Drosophila melanogaster: one gene and its partners. The protein of the gene in region 1 interacts with the protein of each later gene in a pairwise test. Each region holds a gene or a part of one and is shown in the gene's direction. Other genes may lie near its edges. The genes, in order: tbrd-2, tbrd-1, Taf12L and tbrd-3.

Evidence for each region.
Region 2: the proteins of tbrd-2 (region 1) and tbrd-1 interact in a two-hybrid assay, tested with the Drosophila melanogaster proteins (4 studies listed by BioGRID).
Region 3: the proteins of tbrd-2 (region 1) and Taf12L interact in a two-hybrid assay, tested with the Drosophila melanogaster proteins (one study listed by BioGRID).
Region 4: the proteins of tbrd-2 (region 1) and tbrd-3 interact in a two-hybrid assay, tested with the Drosophila melanogaster proteins (one study listed by BioGRID).

The regions. Positions count from the first base shown.
Region 1 is NT_033778.4:19,257,579-19,263,602, forward strand, and holds tbrd-2 (testis-specifically expressed bromodomain containing protein-2), read left to right. Parts: upstream 1-2,330; 5' UTR 2,331-2,486; coding exon 2,487-2,489; intron 2,490-2,543; coding exon 2,544-4,565; 3' UTR 4,566-4,716; downstream 4,717-6,024.
Region 2 is NT_033777.3:23,891,097-23,896,671, reverse strand, and holds tbrd-1 (testis-specifically expressed bromodomain containing protein-1), read left to right. Parts: upstream 1-3,111; 5' UTR 3,112-3,321; intron 3,322-3,382; 5' UTR 3,383-3,419; coding exon 3,420-4,961; 3' UTR 4,962-5,075; downstream 5,076-5,575. Other genes in the region: sba (six-banded), read left to right, coding at 64-463, 1,175-1,664.
Region 3 is NT_033779.5:4,699,672-4,703,891, reverse strand, and holds Taf12L (TBP-associated factor 30kD subunit alpha-2), read left to right. Parts: upstream 1-2,406; 5' UTR 2,407-2,423; coding exon 2,424-2,615; intron 2,616-2,675; coding exon 2,676-2,900; 3' UTR 2,901-3,057; downstream 3,058-4,220.
Region 4 is NT_033778.4:23,324,969-23,329,393, reverse strand, and holds tbrd-3 (testis-specifically expressed bromodomain containing protein-3), read left to right. Parts: upstream 1-1,812; 5' UTR 1,813-1,837; coding exon 1,838-2,644; 3' UTR 2,645-2,655; downstream 2,656-4,425. Other genes in the region: CG9861 (uncharacterized protein), read right to left, coding at 2,681-2,932, 2,991-4,133, 4,190-4,261, 4,334-4,417.

The DNA.
Region 1 (6,024 bases):
CGTTCCCATTCCCATTCCCAACGGAAATCCATAAATAGTGCGTGTGTGGGTGCGCCCTTTTTTCACCCAAACACCCAGACGTAAAAGAAAGCAGGGGAAAACCAAAGGAATCCCAAAAAAAACCTGCATCTTTTGCGCCGCGATTACCATCGCCGATCGCCATTGTCCTTTGGTCAGGATTCGCGGCGTTCCCACCGAAATGTATTTTCATTGTCTTTTTTTTATATCAAAATCGAAATCAAGAGAAAAAAGTCAGGGTCGCAACAATAGGGTCCACAAAAGTCAGAAATCGCTTAAGGTTAACACATCGCAAACAATGCCGAATGAAATCGGGGAGCGGGACAAGTGTCGCGACCACGACGAGGGTTAAGAAAATGGGAAACCTGTTTGTATCATCTTGTAACTTGTATCTCCGCTCTGGACAGCCTGTACCTGGACCTGGACCTGCTGTTTCCATACCGAGCCCTATCCTAATTGAGGGTTGGTTGGGGGCATTGAGACTACGAGTTTCCACGCTCTCCACGGATGCTGAGTCAGCGGCAATTGCTAAAAAAATAAATATAAAATCGGACGGAAAGGGAAGGGAAGGGAGAAGGGAGAATGGTGAATCGCCGAGGGATCGGAATCGGATTCGTCGGGATCCTGAGAGCTGCAAGATCGCGTAAGCACCGGGCATCGAACAATTAACAACTGCAGGTCTGCAGGTGCCGAAGACAAACAGCAAAAGTCACATACTCCAAAACACAGGCGGTGCACAATGGCCACAGAAAGTCAGTAAAAAAACATTAGCCAAAGGCAGGGGGCGAAGAGGAAAACGTAGGAAAACCAAGGAAAATGCTAGCCGAGCGGTGGCGGGGGAAAAGGTCCCAGGGAAAACACGCACACACAAAAGAGGATAACTCGGCGACGGGACATGCGAGTGCACATTTTCGTCTATAAAATTTATTCGCATTAATCGCCGTCAGAGATAAAATTAACGAAAGAATGGCCAAGGACGTGGACGTTTGCCGGGGTGAGAGGGCTAAGGGCTCAGTGGTCAGGGGTCGGGGATCTGGGATCGGAGCTGGGACTCAAAGTCCCGGGATGATAACGCAATATTGACACCTTGGCCCAGGCAGGTAGAACCTGCGATAGCCGGGCATTCTGCGTCTCCAGCGATTCCGTGAGTGGTCCTTTCTGTGAGTGCCATTGCCTAAAGAGCAACAAATTTGCAGCACGAAAAGTCCTTAGTCAAGGATATAGGACGACAATCGCAGGACTGTACTGCGAACACTGTGAAACATAGAAGCATATGATATTTAGGAATATTATATAATAATATCGTAATATCTACGATGGGAATTAGTTTGTATAATTTTGCAATTAATTTTGCCCATATTCAAGTTCATAATTTTTACGACTCCTTGTTAATTTGCATTATCGATTGGGATTACAGTGATGACCTCCATTTTGTACGATTTTTCCGGAGTGTGCCCCGTGTCTATTTCCGTAGTGGGCCTGTCCCACCGCGGTGGTTCGCAAATGGTTGCGGAGTCCTTCCTGTCCTCCAGTGGGTGCCTGGTTGGGTGGGTGGTTTGGCTGGTTGGGTGGCTCGTATGCCTAGACAAGCAGCACCGCAAAGTGGAATGAAGCGTATGCGTGTGTAATTAAGTGCGCAAAAAGACGCAGGAGGCTGTCGTGGTGGGCGGCGGTGAGGGGCGTGGCCGTATATCTGTATTTATGGGACACACTTACATATGTATGCAAATAGGAAAAGCGTGTTGTTGTTGCTGTACTCCTTGAAGGTTGTCGGTGGTGGGATGTGCCGATGGGTGGTGGGGTGATAAAAATGTTGATGTAAATTGCAAAAAGCAGTTTTTATGTCCCATTGCCACATTTTCCAACCGGGAGGTGGGGTACAAAACGCTGAAAGCCTCTGAAGTGGTGCAAATTATTATAAATATTCAGTGGATGGGGCCGGTCGGGTGTGGTGGTGGGTGGTATGGGTGGTTGGATGTTTGCCTCCATTCCCTTTGATGTGCCATTGTTTGCTTTAGTTTCGGTGTCTTTCTGATCAACCAGCCTATAATTGGTGCACTGCTGCTTATCGAGGGCTTAAGAATAGGCAGGATTTTAAAATAAACGAATGTTCTAATAGTGACTTTCACTTTTGCAAAATCCTAGGGGTTGCCGCATATTTAAATGCAATGTCTTGGCATCCCTGACTAGAACTTTCGAAACTTTCATGCTAGTGATTTCTAAATGGCAGTAGGCTGTGCAATTACTTCACTTGTCAAAATAGGACAGCTGAGCGGTGATATGTGTTTTTCCATCACAAAAATTTGTTCCTGAAAGCGGACGGTCGAACGGCAAAAGTGTTCCCAAAACTCAATCGTAATCGTAGTCAAATTCGAGTTTATATTTGTGTAAAATTGAAAGAGACACGTTTTCAAAAATCGAAACAAACGAACAACCAGTAACCAGTAACTGAAAAATATATCTCTAGCATGGTGAGTTCGTAAGCTATTCACTGCGCGAATTTCTACAAATCATTCTATTGGCAGGCATCTTGCAAGCCGCTTTCCGTAAAACTAAAACTCCCAAATCGTGTCCAACCCGAGTTTATACCGCATCCCGGAATGGCGGGTCGTTATACCAATAAGTTGCATTACTTCAAGAAGCATTTGCTCGACGAGGCTCGCAAGAAGAAGTATGCCTTGGACTTCTTGGAGCCCGTGGACACGGAGGCTCTGATGGTGCCCACATACTACACGGTTATCCATCGTCCCATGGATATCGGTACCATTGTGAAAAGAGTTCAGAACAACTACTATAAATCTGTCAATGAAGCGATTGCCGATTTCAAGCAAATTATTAGCAATTGCTTCCTATTCAATCGATCCGGCGATGTCGTTTACCGCAAGGGCCAGATGCTGGAGAAGTTCTTTCACAAGAAACTCCGAGGCATGCCGTCTGGTCCAGAGGTGCCCTGCAATAGGGATCCCAAGGCGGTGGGCAGGCCTAGGACCAATGCTCCTAGTTCCGCGCAGACGGAACGCAAGTGCCGGGAATTATTGAAGAAGTTGCAGAGCATCACCAATCAGACAGATGCCATGACGCGCAATTTCTTCAGTAACAAGTGGGATTCGTTGCAAAAGAAAGTTGATCGCCAGTACTTCAAGTCTGTCAATGAATTTTGCTTGCATGTGGATGGCTGCTTTAGAAAGTACCACGAACCGGCTAAAATCCTCTACGAAAGAGTCTTTAATCAGCCGGCGGCTTGGTGTACTTCCATGAATGGAAACTCATCGCTGGAATCTGCTTTGAATGCCGCAGATCTAAATGAACTACTGGCTGCCGCCAAGTTAACGGTAAATAGCTTGATGCAGTGCGTCCAAATGCCCGGTTCCGGGGAACCTCTGACAGCCAAGAGTTTGGTGGAGACTTTCTGTGACACCTTAAACAAGATGATAAACAAAATGGAGGCAGGTCAACGAAATTCTCCAAACCCATCATCTAGCAAACGACAGAAGATGAGCCCCGAGCAGGAAACGGATTTGGTCCAAGGCGAATTTAAGCCAGCTATGGAGTTGTTAAGTGGAAATGAAATAGATAACCTCATGGCAGTTAGCATTGAATCCTCAGATGATGAAGCTATCGATGCCTCAATGCGTATCACTGACGCGGATCGATGTGCCACACAGAAATTATTTGCCAAGCTTCCGACAAACGCCATGAAGGAGATAATTCACATGGTCCAGCAAATCGAAGGATTTTCCTCAGAGAACTGTGGAGATCTGAGCTTCGATGTCAAAGGTCTCGCCACGGATACTATGATCATGATGAAAAGTGCCGTCACCAAGGCAACTAGGGCCCATAGCAAGCTGAAGCTCAAGGACATGCAGCCTTCGGAAAAGGAAGGACTTCAGCGGGCACTGCAGTCGCAGCTGGTGAACATTACACGGATGCTCAACAAAAATCGTCGCCGATGTGGTCCCTTGATCAATTTCAGGAATAAAAACAACACTGCCAATAACGTGGTGCGTAAGAGAGCAACTGCTCCGCTAACCGCCAAATTGAAGCCGCTACAGGCTAATGTAATGGCTCCACAATTGGGAGCAGGTGTTGTTGAGACTCACAATCTGAGCGATACCAGCGACGATGACGTCTCCGCTCCGGTAAAACTGTCGGCTATTGGTGGCACTCCAATGAGGAATCTCCCAATAAATAGTAATCCTTTGCAAATGCAACCCATCAGATCCCCCCCCAAGTTGCCACACGTTGTCGAACTCCAGATGAGCAGCAGCAGCAGCAGCGAGTCGGAAATGAAATCCAAGTCCGGCAGACTTTCTAGGTCCAGGTCCAGGTCCATGTCCGACACCAAGTTGAGACCCAGGTCAAACTCCAGCGCCAGCTCTAGATCTAACTCTAGTTCTAGCTCTGGCTCCAACGCTGGCTCCAGCTCAGGGTCGCGCTCCAGATCAAGCTCCAGTTCCAGTTCATCTTCGAACAACAGCTCCGAGTCCAACGATTCCTCTGACGTTGAAGTGGTCCCCAATGTACCCGAAGGACAGCTGAGGGCCTAATCCTCATAAAGAAGTCTTATGAATTCTTGCATTTTATGTATATGTAAAAAAAAGGGGGGTTTCACTACAAATATCCCAAATATAAGAAAATAAAAACTGTAAACACCTATATTACACATTCATGTGTACATATATGGTTGGACAAGAAACTAAAAAAAATTAATATGTTTGTAATTCATTATTTCCTAAGAGCTTGGGAAATTGCGATCAGAGATTTAGCATCTCCAATCTCTACTGTCTTTGCAACGATCACGTAGACCAGCAAAATTTTCACGAAAAATTATGCAAATTTCCGAACTTTCTCACGATCGCAGCCAAAAAAGGATAACGATGCTCGCAGTACCTGACACCCAGCAGTCAAATTAGAGCGGAGATCACGCAGATCCTGTATCTCGCGGCGGAAGGAGTTTTTCACAGCCAAGGAAATTTGCATAAGATTTTCACTTGGCGAATATAAAGGGAAGGGCGAGGATGCACTCTCATTTGCATAAGGAAACTCGCATTGCGAAACTGCCAAAAGAACTCGGATGCAAACGAAAGTGAAAATGGGATGGAAAAAGGGAAATGCCACAGAGACAGGGGTTAATTACGGGCACAGTGGACGGCGCCTTGTTCACAGCATGCCGACACGCTCGCACACCTGAGTCCTGCGGCCCGGCCCGAGTCCTTCGTCCTGCGTCCTGCGTGCTGGCAGCAGGGGGTTGAAAAGGGACGGCACTATGGCAATAGCGTCGCAGCTCATTTGCATAAGGTCCACACACGAGATGTGCATGCAATTTACTTGCCCAAAAATTATGTAAATCACTCGTGCAAAAAGGAGACTTTCTCACGCTCCTCGCACAACTCCTTCGGCAATGTCCTGATCTTGGAGGCATCGCGGTCCTGGGTGATCTGGCATTTCGGGGTGCGGTGTTTGGGTTTCTGCACACCGGGCAACAAATCAATTTTGATCGATTTTAATTTGGTCCTCGATTGATTTGGTCATTTGCATATTCGGGCGATCCCTGTTTTCGTCCCGATTATTATGCAAATTCTACACCGAACTTCCTTGACTTAGGACAATAAGAAGTTGATGGACTTCCTTATGGAAGGGTTAGAAATACCCTTTTGCGAAAGGCTTGATTTATGCGAATTTTCTTTATTTGAAATATGGATGTATTAAATTTAATCCTACTTTAAGGTATTTAATTTTATTTGTCCTTTATTTTAGGGTAATTTTTAATGCCAGCTTTTTAGAAAGTTTTTTTATAGGATAAATACTTATTAAAGTCTTAAAGCTCTTTAAAAGTATATTGGAATATTTATATTGAAAGTTTATAATTCCATTTTTTCTCATTCCATAATTTGTATTGCAGAATTTTCGCACATGATTCGCTGGCCAAAAACCTCCTCCGTTGACTAAACCACCACCACCCCGCTCACAACCCCTAAAATGCAGGATAACTTGCAAAATCGCCAC
Region 2 (5,575 bases), on another chromosome or scaffold:
TGCCCCCGAGTAACCAAATTCGTAGTCCTAGTTTCTATGAGTGTGTGTGTGTGCCTTTCGTAGAGTCGCCCACCACAACGCAGCTGCTTTCATCAGTTCCAACCGCTCAACCAACAGTCGAGAAGACGACGGTCAGGACGCCCACGAAACGTTCGCGCCGACCGCAACGAGGGGCAGCGCGTGCGGCGCCCTCGGCGTCTGATAAAAGTTTCCCGCTGCCACCACGATCCTTTGCCATTGGGGAACTGATATGGGGTCCAGCTCGGGGCCATCCCGCCTGGCCCGGAAAGATTGTCAAGATGCCAGACGGAGTGTGCACGCCGTCGCAGCAATTCGACCACGTCTGGGTTCAGTGGTTCGGCGGCGGCGGTCGTTCGACCTCCGAGCTAATTCCGGTCAACTCATTGCAGAGTCTCTCCGAGGGTCTGGAAGCACATCACAAGGCCCAGAAGGATACGAGAAAGTGAGCATCGACTAAGGGTGGGAATTTCTGGAAGAGATCAGGAGGGGAAAATATTTATTCAAGTTCATATTTAAAACAGGCAGCATTTCAGGAAACCTTCGGCTTTAGGTGAACTCCAGACCAGCTCTGTAGTTAGTTTTTGTACGATTTTGAAAAATATTTGTTGAATTTAAATTTATAAAATTTTCCTATCTTGAAGTAATGCGTATTTATCTTAACTTTGTAGTTTATTCTTGCATATTGTATGAAAGCAAACGTTACAATTTTTGTTTTGTTTATTTTTGTATACAAAATATTTTCATTTCTTCTAGATAACTTTTTAGTTTATTTTTTGCAGTCTTTATTAAGCCTTACAACCGTAGCTACATATATTTAGAAAATTGGACACTTTATATTATTAACTATGCAATTAAGCGATAAATCGGCATTTAAATGCATTATTAATTAGTTTAATCATTGTTTACAATTTGACTTTTAATTTGCTAATTAATATTCTTGTTTCTTTTTTTTTAAATGCGCTGAACCAAATCCAAAAATTAAACCATGCCCCGCCAACCCCAACGTGTATAACTCTGTGTGTGTATGCATAATCATCATCATCGTCATGACCAACAACAACCCCACTCGAAAATGAAAAACCCAAATCCGAACCCAACCTGAAACCAACCAAAAACTCAACCACATATACACACTCACCATGCGACCACAAAGGAGCCGCAAACTGAACTCGCAGCTCGAGCGGGCCATACAAGAAGCAATGACTGAGTTGGATAACATTTCAGCCTCCTCGACACCCGCAGCCACATCCTCGTCATCCGCAACCATCTCTGCTGTTCCCGCATCAGCAGGACCAGCTGTAATTGGCGGACAACAGCAGTATCAGCAGCAGCAGCAGCAGCAACAGCAGCAGCAATCGCCCTCTTCAACGAACAACAAAATAAATGGACTCGCGCGGAGCAAGCGCCAGGCCAACACAAGTGGGGCCAGCATGGTGCTGACCACCAGTACGGCGGCCACATTGAGTGGCCTCTTCAATCAGCAGCGAGCCAAGCCCATACGCATTGCTCCGGCTCCACCGGTGGCCACAACGGGCACAGGCAACATTGGGACGATAGCAGCAGCTGGAGCTGCAGCAGCTTCAACTGGAACCGGGACAGCGACAACATCGGCCCGTTCCGAGATCCTGAAGCTGGCCAAATGACCAGCGCTGTCGACGTTATCGTCGACAGTGAGCACAGCCAGCTACACCCTCGTTATCGGGCATAAGTAGTGGGCAGCAGGAGGATACATACCGCCAGGCCATATATATAGAGTTATCCATACATATGTGACGATACGAGTATAGAGTTTAGTGTTAGGTGTCAGGCCTCAGCTTTGGAGTTTGTTGTTTTGTATTCTTTGACAGACTCCCCGCTTAGTTGCGTCGCTGGGCGGCGCGCGCCACACTTTCGAAATAGACAATAAAACAGCAAGATGATGTTAATGAAAATCAAGTTACAAAGAGCAGTTCTAACAATTAGCGATAGGTTTTTGGCTTCATAGACAGCGCCTCGGCGCAAATTTGCGTTGTTTTGTATATAGTAAGCACCAAAAGCTACCAAGATGTTTCGTATTAAGTATTTATTTATTGCATATAGATCCTTGGTTTTTATAGGTTTTGTTTTCGTTGCAATTTATAGACCTACCGATTATTTGTATAAATAGGTAACCTAAGCTGATACTTAGCCACTAAGTTTAAAGAACATCCACAACAATTACATTTGCCTTGTCAAGCAAATGATATCAAATCAAAAACAGCTACTGATTTTCATTTATTGTGATTGCACAAATTGTTTTTTAAACTCTAGAAGAACAAATTATTTATGTCAAACACAAAAAGGTAAAAATCATGAGAAAATTAGGAAGGGTGGAAAAAAATTATATTTATAAATTGTTATTATTTATTTAGTTGAAACTATTGTAAAATTATAATTGTAAAACAAAAATGAAATCACACTTAGCGGAAACACACGGAGCAAATAAAAATTTAAAAAACAAGATAACTCTTTGATTCATGGCCCGCTTGACCCAATCTCTAAAGAAATACACCCTTGTATACAAACTGGGAATGTTCGGAGTTCCACACGCGATTCCCACTGAAGTTATTCCCATGACTTGATACTAGCATCCGATCCCGATGTGACGAACCAGCAGAGGACCTCCCGAGTCACCATTGCATGTGTCCTTATGGTCCGGAGATCCAACACACAACTGGGACTCCGCCTTATAGCCTTCCGGCACATCCTCGTTTGCATCCAACCGTAACTTGTAAGTTGGTAAGTTGTACCAAAGACACTAGAATAATAGAATAGAATTATTCTAGTGTCTTTGGTTGTACTTACACATCTGAGTAGAAGCAGTGAGTAGCCGTTAAAACCACCTGATAACTTATCAAGGTGCCACCACAAAACCACTTCGTTTGATTCCCACTAGAGCTGTGATGATCCAGCCGAGCAACCATGGGAAACTTTTTTTTGGCATATCTGCGGTGGCAACAACTACCAAGGTCCCTGAAGTTGCACCTTAGAAAGGAGTATTATCACTCATACTAGACGATTGCTAGCTATCGAATGTAAGCTCACTGTGAATGTCACAAATTTTGACAGACCCAACGTAGCACAAAAAAGTCAGTGACAAAATCCGTCTGGTCATTTTTTATTTTCTACTACTCCCAACGGAGACTTACATACAATAAATGTAAATCACATCACCATAGACTCTAGTGTCAAGAGGTAATTATTAGTGTTTGACGAAAAGAAGTTCAGTAAAGTTCTGTATTCCGAGCCGAAAGGAGCTGTGAATTTTGAGTTGTTCAAAAAGTAAGCATTTGAAATAGTTCACATTCTTCCTAAATACCAAAAAAAAAAAAAACTGCTTTAGGCTAATATTAGGAGTTGGGTGACCTTACAAACCAGCAATGAATGAACTGCAGTCGAATAGCAACCAGCCTCCGCCGCGCAATGAGCCGTATCTGCAGCCGGTGAATGGCATCGTGCAACCGCCGGTGATTCCGCCACCGAATCGTCCTGGGCGAAGGACAAACATCCTAGAAGAGCTCAAGTCCGTGCTGAATTGCTTATGGCGCAATCGCTTCTCGTATCACTTTCGCCATCCCGTCGATTCTGTGAGCCTGGGTGTGCCCGACTACCATGCGGTGGTCAAGCATCCGATGGACTTGAGTACAATTAGGAAGCGACTGCACAACAAATACTACTGGCAGGCGAGCGAGGCTCTGGAGGATTTCAAGCTGATATTCGATAACTGCTTGTTGTACAATTTGGAGGGCTCACCGGTTTATCAGGCAGGGAAGCTTCTAATGGAGGCCTTTTACATGCGAATGGAGTCCATTGATTTGAGCACGGAGGTGGAACTAAAGCCGAAGTCGGAAAAGCGCAAGAGAAAGGCTACTGAATCATTGGATCAAGCCTCGACTTCGTTCTCAGCACCTCGAGCATCTAACAATTATTCTAGACAGTGGCTCTCGAGTAGTTCCTCATGGCTCTGTCCCCCACCGATGCCTGGCGGGGTGTCGTCATTTAATCCTTCATTCCGAAATTTCGTGGGTCCCAGCTTGATCCCATCTTTTATGCCCGATTCCTTGGTGAATCCCATGCAATCTATGCATCCAATGTCATCAATGATGAATCCGATATTCAAGAATAATTGGGAGACAAATGAAGCAATGGATCCACCGCCCTCAGAGCCAATTTCCTATCGTCCCTTGGATTCCTTGGCAGCACCCTTACCGTCCCCTCCAATGGAACCCATGACTTTGCCTTGGCCAACCCCAGCACCAGTTGAATCTCCAGCTTCATCGCCTCCTCCGGCTCCCAATCCACCCATTATCATCTGCTACAAGTCTCTCGACCGAATGATTGAAAAAAGCCACTCAGATCATCTTCTGAAGTCGATGGTAAAGCGAAAGCGCAAGCAGGTTACATGGGCATTTAATCAGGCTGACTACTGGCGAAGGTACTCCCAGAATCCGGACTACGACCACGATCGCGAAGAGAAACTCGATTGGAAGATACTACAGGAGCGCTTGGACTCCGATAACTTTGAGAGCTTTGATGGATTCGTGAGCTCTGTACGAAAGATGTTCCAGAACGCATTGCGTTGCTTTCCGGAAGATGGATTGGTCAAGGTTTCGGTGAAGAAAACCAATGAGATCTTTGAGAAAAGGCTGCCCAAGTACAGGGAGTTAATTGCCACGGCCAAGGAAAAGGGGCGTCAACTGGTGGCCAGCAGGGAACAAGATTTTCGTGACTCACAAAACCTGCTCATTAAACAAGAAAACGCTAATAAGAATTTCAAAGGATGGGTTCCAAAGCCATTTATTATTAAAACGGAGTCCCTGTTTGTGCAAGAACAGCGAGTGTACAAAATGGAGCCCCAGGATGTACAAGAATTTTCACCTGGTACGGAGCCGCTGGATGACCAAACTTATGATAGCGATTAAAGTGTGTAGAATTCTACCACGGAAATGAAAAAAAATGAAAATGCAAATTATTATAATTATTATTCATAAAGAATTGTTATTAGCCTAAAATATGATTCTAATTACGAGCTACCGACATTCTCATAGTTTAATTATACCTGTATTACTAGATGCGTTGAAAAGTATGGAACAGGCAGAAGGAAGCGATTGCGATCATATACATTTGTCTATACATTTTTGATCAGGATCAATAGCCGAGTCGATCTGGCCATGTCCGTCTGTATTGATCTCATTTTGCCACGCCCACACTTTTGAAAAATGCTTAGATTTTTCTTCGTGCAAAAAAAAACACTAGCCACGCGCCTCCTTTTGCTACAATACGCCCAAAACGGTCACGACTATTTTATTCCCCAGTATCTATCGATATCCCAGAAAAATGATGAAATGTTCCCTTTGGCATTCCCACTAGCTGAGTAACGGGTATCTGATAGTCGGGGAACTCGACTATACCATTTTCTATTGTTTTTAAATTCAAAATAAAACAGTCAAGCACCAAGGTGCCACCTCTCGGTTGACATTGCAACTACGCAGAGCTAAGGTGACCAGTCGTCTTGCAATCTGGCAGCCCTATAACA
Region 3 (4,220 bases), on another chromosome or scaffold:
GGATTTCATCTCATGCCCGTCAACACCGTCGTCCCGTCGTCTGTTGCCCATTTTCGTTTTCATTTCCATTTTCATTCCTGTTGCTGCCGTGCGCTTCGCCGGCTAAGTGTAATTAAAAACTTAAATGGAGAAGGAATTTAAATGTGTTGCTTTTTGCATTTATGAAACATTAACGCAAATCTGTTGCAGATCGAGTTCTGTTTAATAGTCTGTGCGCTGAGGGCCCGATTTAAATTAATTTCGCATCTGCCACTGTGGCGTATACGCAATATCTGGCACAGCCACTGCGGAGGCGAAAAAGTACATCCTCCGTTAATAAAACGGGGCCTAAGAATGCGTGGCTGTTTCATTTGTGTGTGGGAAATCCTGAACAACAGAATGTCATAATCATGTGAAATAAAACCATTCCAAATGGCAGCCAGCCAGTAACTGCGAGTGCATAGAACATGCTGACTGGCTGAGAATTAGCCCCTCAGTCTCGACACTCTGCCAGACATGGCAGAAACTCATTAGCCTTATTACACAGACACCATTCTGCGGCTAAAACTGAGGGGGCGGAACCGGGCGTAGCCCCCACATGCGTATTAACTATTCATGCCCACACACACACTCATTCACTTTCTCTCGCGCCGCAAAGACATTTGAATAATTTTGACAAATGTGTGATTAATTCAAACATTTTGGCAACTAAGGCTGTCATTTTTTATGTGAGCACGACAGCAAATTAGCACTTCATATACAGGCACTGACTGGCATTCTCGTTACGGATATGATATGTGCCATTAGAACGCAACATGAAGGCTGAAACAACTTCTTTTTGAGTCGTGGTTTTATTAAAGGAAGGGAACAAGCATGTTGATTAAATTTAGAATAAAGAAAATGTGTAAAATATATATATTCGCCATAAGACTTAGATGACAATTAACCTTTCCGAACCAGCCAAGTCCTCTTCAAGTCCCCACAATGACTGCCTGATTGGGGCTTGGGCGATTAAAGACCCTGACAAAGTGAAATTTATGGCACTCAGCACACTTAAAGCTAAACGTCGGCCGTTTTTTGCTGCCTTACACTATGCATAAGGCCAGCGAGCAAAATATGAAACAGAAATCAGCCAGAGAAGGCAGAAATGAGCGGACAGGGGCAGAAAAGTGCACACAGCAAATAGAAGCGGCAATATAAAAGAGTCGCATGCCGGAAACGACAAACGACAGTCGGCGGTGGGAGGTAGAAAGAGGAAGCCTAATGCCAATGCCAAACACCGGATGCGGATGTGTGACACATGGCCGAAGGGGCGACCTGGCCACCCCATCATACCAATCCCTTTCCACCGACGACGACTGGCAACATACGCACAATGTCATTGTCGCTCGCTTTAAGTAGGCGACTTTATTAAGCCGAGGACACTGAGGAGCACCTCCAAAGTGGCAGGAGCGCAGCAAAGGCACATGGCACACCATTTTAGAATGACAAAAACGGGCACTGTGGCACCGGTTTAAGCATCTTAAATTTGAATATTAGTTATTATTAATTACAATATACAAGATCATGTTTTTTCCATTAGAAGTAGATGTGAATATTAAGAAGAGCTTCCTTTTTCAATGGTGTTTAAATTAAGATTATTTACGTTTAAGCCCCTCACTAGGCATATAAATTATAGCCGCACGTTTAAATCAGTTTTCCGAGTTGGCTTAAGTTGCAGCCTGAATTCTGAAACCCGAAGCTCCCAAGGTGGCCTTAAATTTGCGCGGTGCTTCGCTGAAGCGAAATTCCCACTGTGCATTAAGGGTTTGCAAAAAGAACAAACGGCATAATAGGCTGGCAGGACACCTGGGCACGTGTGTGCTGTTGTTTTGACTGGCCTTGCCAGTACTCACCTGGCATAAAATTAAGCCATGACGACGCGCTTGTCGCCTGGCCTGGCTTCTTATTCCGGGGCAAAGGTCGTTTACGGCACGGCCACAATTTGTTGCTTTTTGATATTTATTTAGACGGCGCTGGCGCATGAGAAGTGAAAAGCGCACAGCCCAGTCGGAACATAAATCAAAAGCAGAAGACGGCGGAAAAACCGTGAAGGAAAAGCCGCAGCGGAAAGGGTAAACGCTGCGGCAACAATGGAAATCGTTTTCAGCTGCAGAGCTTGCGACTTAAACTGGTTATTTATGGCAGGCCAAGGGCGAAGAGTTGAGGCTGCAAAGCCCAGCTGGGTTTTCCCGATCCAAACTATTGCCGGGTAAAAAATTGAGAGAAAGTGTAATGTCCCACGACACCAAGAAAAAACTTTTTGCTTTTTGAAGAAAGACACAGGACCCGAAAAGTATGCATTAGCTCACACCTTATGTTCCTATAATTTCCAACCAGTTCAAGCCACTTTCTTACCTAGTGCATGTGGCATTAACGGGAAAGGACATTAAATTAATTGAATCATGGATAGTAACATGGAACCTTGGTCCTTTGCCCTCAATTTCGATGACAGCGATAAATCGTCGGATAACGAGAGCCACTCTTCGACCAGATCCTCGAGCCGCTCCAGTGACACCAGCATAGACACCAGCTCCGTGGAGAAGGAGCCAGCTAGCGTAATTGAGAGCCAGTCTGTCCCTGGCGGAAGCTACGATGTACGTAACGACTTCCCCAATTAGGACGCATTAATCGATCCGTACTTTTCCCCCTATCAGATTATCTCCAAGACCAACATGCTGCAATTTGTGCAGAAAATCGATGCAAATTCATCGCTGGACGATCAAGGTTGCGATATGATGGCCAGAATAGCCGATGCCTTTGTTAACGACATATCCATGCGCATAGTTAAGTTGGCCAAGTATCGAAAGAGCGACGTTAGCGTGCTGGACCTGAAGTTCATCCTCAAGCGGGAGTTCAACATGGAGTTCCCAATTGAATAAATGTCCAATAAAGGGAAAAATAATGTAGAATTTGAAAATTGTGGAATGAATAAAATGTATGAATAACTTGGTTTAAAACTGTCAGAAAGGCAACAAGAATAATTGTTTTCTGCACCTAATTACCAATGTTAACCAGTGCAATTACTTTTTGGTCAATAAAAAAAATTTTATTTTTGGGTCAGTTTTGCATTTTTTATAAGGGGTACCATCATCAAAATTTGCAAAAATTGGCAAAAAATTAAAATTTCCAAATTGGAATGCCAATTGATTTGGGGATAAAATACAAGCTAAACGAGGTATGGCATTCCATATTTGGACAATTGTTTTAAGATTTATGATGAAAAAACTGAATATATTTGGGCGAAAAATCAAAAAGGTCTCTTTTGGCAAAAACGCAATATTTAAGAGTGGTATTTTCTTCACAACTCGCCTAAAAATAGTCAGATAAGTACAGGAATAACTGTTTTCTGCACCTAATTACCAATAGCAACAATTGCTATTACTTTTTGGTCAATAAAAAAAATTTTATTTTTGGGTCAGTTTTTGCATTTTTTATACCATCATCAAATTTTGCAAAAATTGGCAAAAAATTAAAATTGCCAAGTTTGAATGCCAATCGATTTGGGGATAAAATACAAGCTCAACGAGGTATGGCATTCCATATTTGGACAATTATTTTAAGTTTTATGATAAAAAAAAGGCCTCCTTTTAGACTGAAAAACGTGTTTTGCCAAAATATGGTTTCATCGTGAATTTAAAGAATACACAAAACTCGTGTTTAATACAAATTTGTTAGCTGACGAAAGAATTTTATTGAACATAATTGTGAATACCCATTGAGGTATCAATGAGAAAAGGTGCACGCCTGGTGATAAATTGCAAACCGGATCATCATGATTAAGCAATTAATAAATTCAATGGCCGCTGTCAAGAGCCGGACTCACATTCAATAGCCCCTGCAAAGCGGTCATCATGGTCTCGGCCACACTTTCCCGAGGACTTGACTCTCGCCCTTCAGCCGGGAATTACTCAACATAAAGTTAAAGTGCCATAAAAATGCCAGGGCGCATAATGCCACACACTCACACAGTGGCTGAAAAACACTCACATGCTCCCATTTACACACATGAACGGGCACTGGGTTCCTTTTCAGGTCCTTTGCTCAAAATAAAGGATAAGACCGAGGCGGAAATTTCAGAGCGATTTTTTCTCATATTTTTTTTTTATTTGGTGCTGCCTCAAGAATAAAGAATACTTCTTCGCGGGCCATGGGTATAGCGGAAAATGGCATAATTCTGGAGCTTCTCTCTCTGACTCTTA
Region 4 (4,425 bases), 4.1 Mb from region 1:
AAGATACAATCGCGTACATACCTATAGGTATATATTTACACACATATATATCATATGCATGGCAGTATAAATCAACTGCGGCACAGCCATTCCACCGAAATGCGAAATCCGACTGCTGACAAGTGTCACCGGGAGATGCTATGACAAAGTGTCAAAAGAATGTTTGACATCTGACTGGCTGTCGCCGTCTCTTTCGCTCGAATAGCCCCCTCTCCATCGCTGTGCCGTGCGAGGGCAGCGTGTGTAGCCTGTCCAAATGTACATTTCTCATATCTCCTCGGCGTCCTCGTCTGCTGGTTCTTCCCTTCTTTCCATTTCTGCAGGGCTTTCATATTGCCGCCCTTTTTTTTATATTTATCCATATATTGCCCGGTTCCAATGGGATGCGGGATGGCCAGGTAGGGATTCGTTCGCAGGTGCGAGGCAAGTGGGTTTGGGGGAAAGGGATGTGCTTGCCACTGACAGCCTCACACGTTTCCTTTGCGTCCCCCTGGCGATCCTTTTAGCACCTGGCCCAGTCTCTGGGTGTATAATTTCATCTGCCAACTGATTGAGTGTCGCAGTTTTACTTATGTGAAAAACGAACAAGATTTTTATCTGGAAATCGGCAATAGAGAGCGGAATGTTTGCCGTGAAATGCGAAGTAAAGTTCTGCCCCGCTGACATATCGACAAGATCAAAGGGAATCGTGTGCTAAGGGCTCTCAGCTACACATATGCATAAAAATATCACTCATATCAATTTATTCTAGGTCTAGATGCCTCCAAAGCGAATGATCTTGCGAAAAAGTGGATATATGACAGATATAGGGTATAACTTTATCTATATTGTTATTTGGTATTTTTGATTATATATATTTTAAATATACTTTGAAGATTAATCTCTTTTTCTTTCGGTTTCGCAAACTCTATGTGTAAAGTCTCCAAACTTGGGGTTGAAGGTCAACATCCGAACCAGATGATGCCCAGAGGTGAATCCCCATTCGCAAGTGGGTCAGTGGAGTGCAATCCCAATTGACCCATTCGCAGGACCATTCCCCCAAAGGCCCAACAGCAGACTGAAGAGGCGCCCCAAGATGTGGCCAAGACCTGGTCCGATTGCCACCCAATTTGCAACATTTTGTGGCAGGTAAGTTAACAGCGAGAAAATGAAGGTCTCCGTAAATCGGTTGCTCTCAGTTGTGGATCGCAAGCTAACAGAGGGAGAGAGCCACAGGAACAGGATTTCCCCTCATGCCTGTGGAAGCCAACTTAACAGAGTGACTTTAAACAGGATTTCGATTTAACTTTTGTAAACCCAACTTGTTGACTGCCCAAATGAAAGCCCTGCAAATATTTGCCCAAAAATGATGTATATTGTGTGTCCTAACAAAACTTTTATGCTAACGAAATATTTCGGCACTCTAAAATAGCAAACGTCAGCGGTTGACCATAAATATTTTCGCCCCCACAGCTCGATGGGGATTTTAAATACGTTTACCGAAAAAAGGACTGTTTGTACGGGTCTCGGAATTAGATTAACCATCATAGCTTCAGGATTGAGGCAGAGCATTCCCACAAAGGACCGCACTCCCACACAAAATGTATGGAAATACTTTCCTGGCCGGAGCCACTTGCATAATTAACTGAATTTGTTTGTTGCCCCAAACCGCATTTGTGGATTGACTTTTCTGCTCGGATTGAGGTGGCAATCCTAAAAGTTTTCATAAGCTAAAAATATCATCGTACAGGGCAACCCGGAGTGTGAATATTGTCAGTTGTATTGCGTTCAAGTTGTCAAAACGATAGAAATTATAATAGAATTTTCCGATAGTCGATATCGAAGATATTTTTCTGAAATGGCTGCAAAACAAGAAACTGAACGGTCCTCGCCGGAAATTAATGCCTGCAAGGTGATTATTAAAAGGTTGTTTTCCAGTACCTATAAGAATATTGCTTGGGTTTTCTACGAGCCACTGGATCCGCAACTGCTGGGCCTCCACGATTACCATGAGATTGTCCGGGAACCCATGGATCTGTCCACCGTGAGGCATCGTTTGAATACGGGTTGCTATCTCAGTGCCGCGGATTTCGCCAAAGACATAAGGCTGATTTTCTACAACACCTATCTGTACACGAATCCCGATCACCTGTGCTACCACATGGCCAAACAGCTGCAGATCATCTTTGAGGAGATGTACTCCCAGGTGCAGCTCTACATCTGCTCCAGCGGCAGTAAAGTGCGTGCCGAGGAAGAGAGCTCCTCGGATGAATCGGACTCATCATCGCCGGAGGACGAGGTGAACGGCTCGGAGGTGTCCCCCTCCATAATGGGTGCGCCCCCCTCATGTACTCCAACCACCGAATGTACTCCGACCCCCGATTGGACTCCGCCGGCAACTTTGGAAACTTCGGAGCAGCAGGAGCCCTTTACAACCGAGGAGGACCTTGATCTGCACGCCAAGATTCAGCAGCTGGACGGCGAGGTGCTGCTCCACGTCATCCATTTCATTCAACGCATGGAGGGCGCCGAGTACTGCAACAAGGAGCTGGAGTTCGACATCTGCAAACTGAAGGTGCACACCAAACGCGGCATCCGTGATTATTTGGCCAGCAAGGGGTTCACCGGCAAAAGAGTGGCCCGCACCAAGCCCAAATATAATTGAGTTTCAGATTGAAAAAGAGTTTTAATTTATTGTAATCTAGTCCTTTTTGCCCAAAAGCTTCTCCTGCTCCTTTCTCTTGTCGCGCATGGAGCGGTAGTTCCGGAAATCCCCATTCCACGTCTTGTTACGCATGATCTCCAGCGGATTGGAAGCTATGTAAGCGAAAAAGGTCTTCCGAGGAGGTCCTCCGGGCACCAGATAGTTGCCCATGGCGTACCAGGCGGAGCTCACGATGCTTAGGTAGCGGGCATTCAACTGATCGTGATATGTTTGCTTAGCCAGGGCAGCCTGAAAAATATAGTTTTAGTATAGTAAAATATATGTACATATATATATATATATATACCGTATTCTTAATCTGCTTATAGAAGTTAAAGTTCTCCTTGGATCTGGGCAGGCGATCAATGCCCATAAGATCGGGACTGGCGGGACTGCTCTGGAGGATGGTGACCAGCTCGAATATCCTGCTCGACTCGGCTATACTCTCCTCGAGCTCCTTCTGGCTGTAGGTTTTGCCGTACCTCCTCTTGACCCACTCCCGCAGCACTGGCAGCTTGTGGGCGTCTGGCAGACAGGCCAGCACATAGCGGGGCTCCTTCCTGAGTACTCGCATGCCATCCTTTAGCAACTTGTCCATCTGGGCGGCATCGTTCGGATCGAATGATTCCGTATCCTTATGGGTCAGTGCCTTGCGCGGCGTCATTCTGCCCATGCGCTCCATCTCGGCCCGCTTTATTAGGGTACGCTTCTGCCAAACCGCCTTGGCACATCTCACTACTGCATCCACGATCTCCGCCTTGTAGTTCACATGGCTGCGACCACTGTGGTTGCTCGAACGATCCAAGGTCTCTCGACTGTCGGAGATTCTAGTCTGATCCAGGTCACTAAAGATTTCCAACGGGGGCTGGCTGTCCTGCTTCGATTTCTTCTCCGGCTCGGTTTCGGGAAGGCCTTCAGACTTGGAATCCGGAGGCGCCTCGTCCTCAATCACCATCTCCGACAAAAGCTCCCTAAAGTAACACGGATCGGCTTCGTCCCCATCCGACTGATCCAGCGCCTTCACAAAAGACTTGGCCATAATATGACTGAGATCAAAGGGTTTCGGTTGGCCGGATTGGAAGACCCGATGGTATTTGAACTGGTACGGCTTGTTCGAACGGGGTCCCCGGAAGAACCTAGTTTTCACATGCCTGTTATTGGGCATGCGCATATCGCACTTGTGTGCATTCCCTTCGATCTTTCCCTTGGCCAGGATAAAAGATACGGCCGACTTTTTGGGAGCCGGAGGAAGCTCGCACTCCGAAGGACCAACTACTTGCGTACACACCTGTGTGTACTCGTTGAAGTCGATGTTGTGGATACGGAAGGGGCCGCTAACGAGTTTGCGAGGCGGTGGCTTCCAGGGCGATACCTTCGGCTTCTTCGGATTTTCTGGTTCCGGTTCCACTACTTTAGCCTTTTTCTCCTTTTTCCCCTTCTTGTCTTTTTTCTTCAATACAGAAAGATTGTAATGAAAGTTAATCTATTTGGTAATTTTCCACTCACCGGCTTTCCTCCACCACCCTTTAGCCTCTTTCCGCGGCCCTTTTCTGCAGGCGGTTGGGGTACTGTGGAATCCTTAATTTTGTTCAATAGAAAAATAAAAGTGGGTATGGAAAATGTAAATATATTTGGTAATTTCAAACATACCGTCTTCTCTGCACCTCCCTCCAGCCTTTTTCCGCGACAAGTATCGATTCCACTGGTACGGGCTACTGTGCCATCCTTTTTTTTCTTTAATT